Linked DNA regions of Mus musculus: region 2 is reported to be linked to region 1. The links are microRNA targets in miRTarBase. Many come from high-throughput screens and were not tested one by one. Region 1 holds a microRNA gene; the other region holds the end of a gene's coding sequence. Distances are from middle to middle.
Evidence for each region. Region 1 holds the annotated microRNA mmu-miR-466i-5p (UGUGUGUGUGUGUGUGUGUG, at 2,414-2,433, opposite strand). A microRNA usually pairs through its seed, bases 2 to 8, with sites in the 3' UTR of a target mRNA and lowers its output. Matches are read on the target gene's strand: a 7mer-m8 pairs with bases 2 to 8, a 7mer-A1 pairs with bases 2 to 7 and ends in A, and an 8mer does both.

Region 2: miRTarBase lists Sh2d2a as a target of mmu-miR-466i-5p. Seed matches in the 3' UTR shown: 8mer at 656-663, 8mer at 1,026-1,033, 8mer at 1,028-1,035, 8mer at 1,030-1,037, 8mer at 1,032-1,039, 8mer at 1,034-1,041 and 48 more.

What each region holds. Positions count from the first base shown.
Region 1 is chr3:85,465,590-85,469,814 of GRCm38, reverse strand. Mir466k (microRNA 466k) reads right to left here and starts at 2,438; the gene lies at 2,317-2,438. All of the region lies in intron 1 of Gm31419 (a long non-coding RNA gene), which reads left to right.
Region 2 is chr3:87,851,954-87,856,178 of GRCm38, forward strand. Sh2d2a (SH2 domain containing 2A) reads left to right here. Exons shown (of 7, transcript NM_021309.3): 7 at 114-3,769. The coding sequence ends at 455. Among named protein-coding and RNA genes, the nearest start is that of Sh2d2a, 7.3 kb to the left of the region's middle.

The DNA.
Region 1 (4,225 bases):
TCAGGCCCCGGACCGAGGCTGTGAAGGTCAGCTGCCCTTATCCATGCACTACTGGGCAGTGGAAACAACAGGCTTCTTGGTGGGCACTACTGGATGTTTGTGGTTGCCATGCAGCAACTGATGACTGGTACAGACTCCAAAGCACTCTCGAGGGCCCACCTCGTGGCATTCTCTCTAATGGCTTGTTTTTGGATCCTCTTGCCCTTACTGATTACATGATAGCAGCTGTTCCTGCCTTGGGGCTTCGTATTGGCTGTGTCCTCTACTGTATTTTCTTCTGTGGGTCACTGTCGGTGCTAAATGCAGTGAAATGAACTAGCGAGACAGTGGGCCCTGGCAAGGGCAGAAGGAAACAGTGACATGGGGTGACCTGAGCGGTGGCATTGTGCAGACAACTGGAGGAGGAGAGAGGACAGCTCACACATATCAGTCTGGGTGGAGGGAAAGAGAGCTAGAGGCCAGCTGGATCTGGTGTGCTCTCTCTCTCTCTCTCTCTGTTTCTTCCCGAATCAGTGGCTTTAGATACACCATCGCATTATCTAAAACCTCCCTCCTTCCCTCCTCATCCTGCCTGCTCCCCCATCTTCTTAATTGGGGTCAATCTTTCCAAGTCTCTCAGCTCAAGGGAGGAAGTAGTATCTGCTGTAGCAGATGGTCCTACATTCTGGTGACATCCTAGCTTTCCAGGTATCCCTTGGAAACAATCTTGAGTTTGTAGCCTCCCAACAATATGAAAAGTTAGACTTAGAAAAAAAAATGTTTAAAAGGAAGTAAATAAATATTTTTTCCTCTGCTATTCATATAAATATTCTGAGATACAATAATAATAATAATAATAATAATAATAGCCTGAAAATACCCTGGGTGTGACCAGTTAGTTGAGAGCTGGCAGTGTGTGTGTGCCCTGTCAGCTGCAGGGTGATAGCTAGGATTTAATTGCCCTTCCTAAGATGCAGCTCAGTAGAGTGAGGTGAACTAGAGTCTTTCTATATACATGTCTCTGAGGACAAGACTCACAACAGCTTCCACGTTACCCAGGACCCAGTTGGACCGTGGACACTCAGGCTTCACCACAGACCTCCTGGCCTTATTTCCTGGGGGTTGGTGTGCACAATCAGCTCCAGGAGAGCCAATCAAGTCCTTGTGGATGTCATGTCTCAGTGTCCTCTTTATTAGGATGTCACAGGTAAATTCCTGTGGCTGGTGCCAAGACAAACTGCCTAGAACATTTTATTTGCTGGCTTGCTCTGATTAAAGTGGAGAACGCACTGCACTTTCTCGTTTGTGGTCACCTGCTAAATCTTTACCTTATTTCTGGTGTTGCCTAACACAGCGTCTCATACACAGCAGAAGAGAAAGAGTCACTAAATGAATGAATGAATCTATTTCCTATTTCCTTCGAAATTTGAGCCTCTGCACAGGCTGAGATGTACTGGCGTGCTTTGTGTTGTTGTTGGAGGTGGAATCTGGGGTCTTGTATATGCTGGGCAAGTGTTTCATCATTGAGCTATAACCCAAGAGCTAAAAAACTTGTTCCGGTGGCATTAGGGTAGCAGACAATTTTTGGGGAAATGAAGTTTGTTTCCAGAAGGCCTAGGGCTGTGGAATCCTGGGTATAATGGATGCTTAGAAGAGAAGAGATGACTTCAGGTCTCAAGGACTGAGGACATGTCCCTAGTTTTCAGTGACTGGCTTTTATACCACCAGAAGCTCTGCACACTCTGTACTGACCCTTTTCCTGTGAACTTCCCTGTGTAACATTTGTTCCTCTGTTTTATCAGCTGAATGATGGAACCTCACAGCCAAGAACTTTGAGAGGTCAAAAGGACCTGGCTGCTTCCTGCAGGTGGCAATGGCTTCCTTTCTTCTTCAGCCTTTAGACAGTTTGGATTTCAAATTATTCCATCACTTTCTAGAACATTCCAGATCCAAGCTCTCCTCTCCTATCACAGATGTATTCTGCAGCGCTGGGCCTCTCTACTGCATGTGGTTGTGGGAGAAGAAAGCCGCTGAGGTAGTTGAAGCCATGTTTAGCTTTTAGTTCTGTGAGGCAAGAGGGCCAGGACAGAGCATTTCCCCTTCCCTGTCAAGATATCAGCACCTGCTTGGGAAGCCAGAAGATGGAGGAGTAAAAAAGCTCCTGTTCCTCGGGGGCTTGCAGGTAAGGTCACGGCCAGTGCAGAGGTGCCAGTCTTCTCCTGCCCTATAAGGCTGCTGCTACCTGTGAAAGATCAGTGCAGTTGCTTACCTGTCACCTAGGCCAGATGGAGACACAGCCATCGGAGTCACAATTAGTAACACCTACTCACCATACACACACATGCACATGCACACATATACACATATATTCACATACTCACACACATGCACATGTACAAACATATACACACACATACTCACATGTACATGTACACACACACACACACACACACATATATATGTATATACACACCTGCACACACACACACACACACACACACACACACACACATATCAATAGAGAACATGCATATACACGTACATGCACTCATGCACATGCACACCCATGTGTATATGCACACACATACATACACATATACACATATGCATGCACACACACACATACACTTATTTCTATAGGAGGGTGTACATGAATGTATATCACATGCACACATGTATATGTGTGTGAATATAGGTGAATATACAGCCCCTCCCATCCTGGAAACTAGCACATTCATATAAGACACCATAATACAGCTTTTCAATATTTTCTTTTCTGTAAGAAAGTAGGGAATTGACTGAAGTCCAGGGCTGTTGCAGTTCAGAAGTTCGGCTCTTTATCTAAATGTGGCCCTGAGAGTTAGGCAGCAGATGGAGGTAACATGGCAGCTTCCAGGGCTTGGAGTCAATGACTTCAATGAACAAAAACAGACACTTTCTTTTACTCGCTCCATTGAGAACATGACCACACATTCCTGGCTCACAGGAGACCCCTAAATCTGGAGGCCACTCCACGATGTCTCCTCATCCTTAAAGTAGAAAGTGGGACTGCGGAATCTGTCATGTGCTCCATCTTGGGCCACTGATGGGGTCTGTGTGAGATGAGATCTGATTTGCCTCGGTTATTCTGGGATGCACATTGGCTACTCTGCCCACTTCATCCATTCTGAGCTACTACCAATCTCCATCCTTACAGGCAGCAGCCAATTTGAAACGTACAGTTGTATACTCCCACTTCAGGTTACTTTTGCCAACACATATTACCTTATGTTTATTTGAGTTAAGTTTCGTCTGCCTGCAGGCTGCACAATCCCCCAAAGTGTTCCGATGCACCTGGAATTTCTTGCAAATCTTCTCTGTTTTTATTAGCCACAACAGTTTGGAACTAGTTGAAACCTCTGGGAAGAGATTAGACAACAATTACTGCCCGTTGCTCATGTAATGTCTGGCCAGGTACATGAGCCAGCAGGCCTTGCTTGGCGGGGTGGGGGTGGGTGGGCATGATAGCATTTCTATCCACTGGTCTGTCTTTTGAACTCTCAACTCTGGACAGGTACCAGGGAGCCAGCCTATCCTTGGGGTGTATGTCTACACAGGGGCATAGAGCTGTCTTATTTACAGGTTTTAGAAGCTACTGCTCTGGAGCCAAGGGAATGTGTGTTATCAAGGCCCACTCTGTCTGGTCCCCTTGGATATTACAGAAAGAAGGGACAGAAGAAGAGAGCCGAGGGAGGGGAAGGAAGCTTGCAGCACTGCTCGCTATGCTGGGTTCTGTAAAATCAGGTGATTAGACATGGGAGGAGGAAGGACAGAAGTATCACCCTTCGGACTCCTCTGGAGAGGCTGAGACATCACCATGGTCACATCCTGGAATCTGGGAATGAGGACTGGTTGAGGCTGGAAGCCACTGTCCTCAAGACCAGGTAGGACATCAAGGACCAGTTCCACGAGCCAGGATGGAGGAGGTGAAGCGGGCTGCTGCTTGCGGAAAGCAGCTTCTGTGAGCAAGGCTGGTGTGTGGGCAGCAGCTTAGGCTGAACGGATCCCAGAGCGTTCCAGCGAGCTAATCTTGTCAGCCTCAAGCTGTTCCACAGACAGTGGGTGTGAATCCAAAGCCATCTTAGATGCTCAGCTCTCAAATGTTTCTTTTAAGAAAATAAAAAAAGAGAGATTGAAGGTACACCAGACCCAAATGGGCCAGTTACCTGGGAAGGTTAGACTTGTGAGCTGTGAAGTGCAAGTATGC
Region 2 (4,225 bases), 2.4 Mb from region 1:
GGAAGAAGCCAGGCTGTCATAGGTAGAGGCTCAGGCTGAGATGGGCCTGGGCTTAGACCCTGTCTCCACGGTTCTCATTAATTTTCTTCCCTGGTCTTGCCTTCTCCCCCTAGACATCCCAGGCATCCAGACCCAGGCCGCCCATCCCCGCCAAGCCTCAGCTTCCTCCTGAAGTCTATACAAGTCCTGCTTCACGACTGCATCAGGCCCCACCCATTAACCCCATCTACCAGGAGCCTGATGAACCCATAGCCTTCTATGCCATGGGGCGGGGCAGCCCTGGGGACGCTCCTAGTAATATCTATGCTGAGGTGGAAGGGCCATCGGGAACGGCGCCCATTGGACACCCCATCCTCCGAAAGTGCTGGTCCAGGCCTATCTCAAGAGGCCAGGTAAGGGAGGTACAGGGAAAGATAAGCTCAAGGAGTCGAGCAGAAAGAGGGAGCCCCTCCTGAATATCGGGCAAGGTGAAGGTCAGCAGGCTGAAGCGAGATGGAGTGTTCCACGCTGCCGAAAACCTTTGCCCAGCTCCAGGCCTAAGGCTCTTCCTGGACATTCACGTGGACTCAGCTTTGTCAAGCCCTACCTGCCCCTACTTCAGGTTTCCTTCAACCACTCTCCATCCCAGGCTGCCTCTCATTGGTCAGGCCTTCCTCACACACATGTGACACTGACCCAGCTCCCTGGAGAGCGTCACTGCCAGTGGGCTCAGAGGAGGAGGCTGCCACACTGTGTGCTCACCCTCACAGTTTCCCCACAGAGTTTCAGTCATGTCTGAATGTGGTATTACTATTAAAGGAGTCAGACTCTTTCCCTTGTACCTGCGTCAGGTCCTACTTCAGGCTTCCTCTCTGCTGCCACCAAAGGTCCCTGCTTGGCCCTCACCAGCCCAGCTCACCTGTACCCTACCAGCCTTCTTAACCCTGGGTCCATCCAGGCTCTGCCAGGGTTCCAAAGCCACTCCAACATCAATTGAACCAACCTCACTCGCACCCTGTGTGGGCGCGCGCATGAGCGCGCGCGCGCACACACACACACACACATGCACCACGCACAGTGTCCTGTGTTCCACACCCTGATTGATTAACCCCCAGCACCCAGCTATCCAGCCAGAAATGTGGGGTCCCTAAACATCTCCATCCCCTTTGCTTCAGTCTCTGTCTGTCAATAATGTCAGTTGCCTCTACCTCCCAAGTTCTGGAATTACCACTGTGTGCTCCTACAGTATGTGGGATCAAACTTGGGGCTTGGTACGTGCTAGACAAGCACTCTATGTCTGAGCCACACCATGATTTCACTGAGTGGCTTAACTGCCTTCCTAGTACCAGGCTTGTCAGCTCTGACCTGTTCTTCCCCGAGGAAGCCAAAATGGGCTCTGTGAGTCAGCTGCCTGGTCCTCCAGCTCTTCCATACTGAGGCGAGGTCCCACTTCGTCAGCCCCACTTCAAGCACCCACACCATATTTCTCCAAACTCACCAAAGGCTACCAAGTCAGTCCTGCCCACAGCAATCCCTACAAGACCGCCCTCCTGCTGCCTGGCAACCCTTAACCCCACTCAAGACCACAAGCCCTTCCCCTTGCAAAGCCTTCCCTGGCCTGACCTCCCAACACACCCTTGCCAGGCCCCTGCTCAGCCCAGACTCCCATTGCTCTTTTTTTCTTCTATCTCCCCTTCCTGCAGAGCCTGATTCACTAGAGGCAGCCCTGGGGGATGCTCAGCTATCTCTAAAGTACTGGCCCAGTGCTTGGCATGAAGCAACTGCCTCAGGGAGGGAGGGGGAAGGGAGAAGAGGAGAGGCAGAGGGATGGACGGGAACCTAAATCCCCTCTGGAGGCCAAAGGGTTAAGACCATATACCTTCTCCTAGAGACTGTAGCTCTGCCAAAGAGGCAGAGGGTATGACCCAGAGCTGTCCTTCTGTCTGCAGAGGACAGATGGTCCAGAGCTGCATTCTGAGGACTGTGTGGCAGAGTAAGACCCTGTCCTTCATCATGAGCCCCCCTGGCCCTAGAGGCTTGCCCTTTCTAGACAGAGAGCACTCATGGCTCCCCATCAGGCCTTATTAGGGGTAAGTCTGATCTGGGAGGGTAGCTTGGGGCATTTTGTGTCCTGAGACCTTCACAGACCCCTGGGTCCTCTCTTAGGGAAGGCAGGTGGGATAGACTACAGGTGAGCAGAGCTTCATCTGCTACACGGATGGCGAGGAGGTGTCACCCCGCGTGCCAGCTCCAATCCATTGGTCTCGGCTGCCTGGCATGCAGCATTGGAAGGATATTAAGGTCAGATCTAAGCTCAGCAGAAAGGAGCAGGTGACGGATGAGTGGCGTCTGCTGTGGGTGCGGGAAGGGTGAGCAGCGTTTCTTTCTCTCCTATCAATTAAGTCCAGTCCTCTCATTATGCAAATCAAGAAACAAGCCAGAGAAGGAGAAAGCCTGGGCCAAGGTCAAGGATTGAAACCCCTCTCAGCATTCCCCATCCGTCCTCTGAATCCTCACTTCTCCACAAGGGACAGAGAGATTTCCTCAGCTAAGAAGCTGGTTGCTCTCCAGAGTTCTGCACTGGGACCTCCCTGCACTCCACCTTTCCCTGTCCCCTTAACAAGTCTGCCTTCCTTGCTCCAAAGCAGCCTGGAAGTCAGAGGACCAAATGTGGGATCTGTGCTTCCTCATAGCAACACACACACCACACACACACACACACACACACACACACACACACACACACACACACACATGCATGCATACACACACACACATACACACACGAATACACACACATGCTTGCATACACACACACATGCACATACACACATACATGCATACACACACATAAACACATACACACACACATGCATACTTGCATACACACACACACACAGACACTCACACTGCTCCCTTCTGAAAGTCACCAGGAACCAAGGCAAGGAACTGTATGTACTAGGGAAGCCATCCTGCCTCCTGTGCCCTGGTTTTTCCTCCTGAAGAAACTGGACTTTAGGAAGCCTTGGCACTCTGAGCCTTCGCATCTGGGCCCCGATCCAATGGCTGCTGTTGTCTGAGAAATGTTTTGGTGAGAACAGATGTTAGGATTTGTTTGTTGGTCCTTGTCTGGCTAATAAATCATTAGCAACAATCTCCCTCCTCGGGAATCTCTGTCCTTCCAGCTCCTCCCCAGCCCTTTTCTCTCTCCCACTGTCGCTCATAGGGGTCTAGAGGTTCAAAGACACTTAGGCAAAGTTATTGATCTTTTGGCTGAAAGTTAAAAACCATGAGGACAAGGACACGGACTCCCTTTGCCAAGTGCTTCTCCCTTAGCTGGGGTAGGCTGGGTGGGCAGCCCGGGCACAGGAGTGGGTGCCTATAGAGATGGGCAACTCAGGACTTGGGAGAAGGGTGCCTTAGCAATCTGTGAGCCCTCAGAGGAGGCAGCTTAAGTCCTTACCTCACTCAGGAGCCCATCCCCCTCCCTGCCCCATTCTATGGGCCTTTCTCCCTTCTCTGCCCAGACTCACTTCAGGACTGGCTTCCTGCCCTAGAGCTAAACTCCTCTAGAGTCCTAGCCCGGGAGCAGTCTGTGCTAGGTCCCACTTTCATCTCACTGGAGGTTTTCTGAGGCTGGCCATGCATGGCCCTACTGGCTCCAGAGTCACCCGAGTCTCTGGAGGTAGCCTTTGCCACTGTTTCTCTCTCTGTGTAGCTCCCCACACAGCTGTTACCCCGATTTACTACAGCTCATTTAAGGTAACATGTGCTTTTTGTGTCCTGTCTCAAAAACAAAAAAACAAAACAAACGAAAATAATGGACTGGCCCTCTGAACCTGTAAGTCAGCCCCAATAAAATGTTGTCTTTGTAAGAGTTGCCTTGGTCATGGTATCTGTTCACTGCAGTAAAACCCTGAGACACTCTCCTGTTGCCTTGACTTCCCTGCCGTGACATGCTTAAAGTGTGAGCTAGGAAAAAAACAAAAAATAAAAACCCTCTCTCCCAGCTGATGCTTTTGTCAGAATATTTTATCCCATCAACAGGAAGAGAAACTAAGATAGCACTTCTTCTTCCCGGCCCAGGCACTCTGGCCCAGCCTGCTCTCACATCTGCCAACAGTCAGACTGTTCGCACTGTAGATCCAGCTGTCCTCCAGACCCAACCTTTCGCCAGTGACTGATCCTCACGACTGCCATTCCCTGCTCCTTGGGGGAATACAGCAGAAAGTTTCAGTATTGTCCC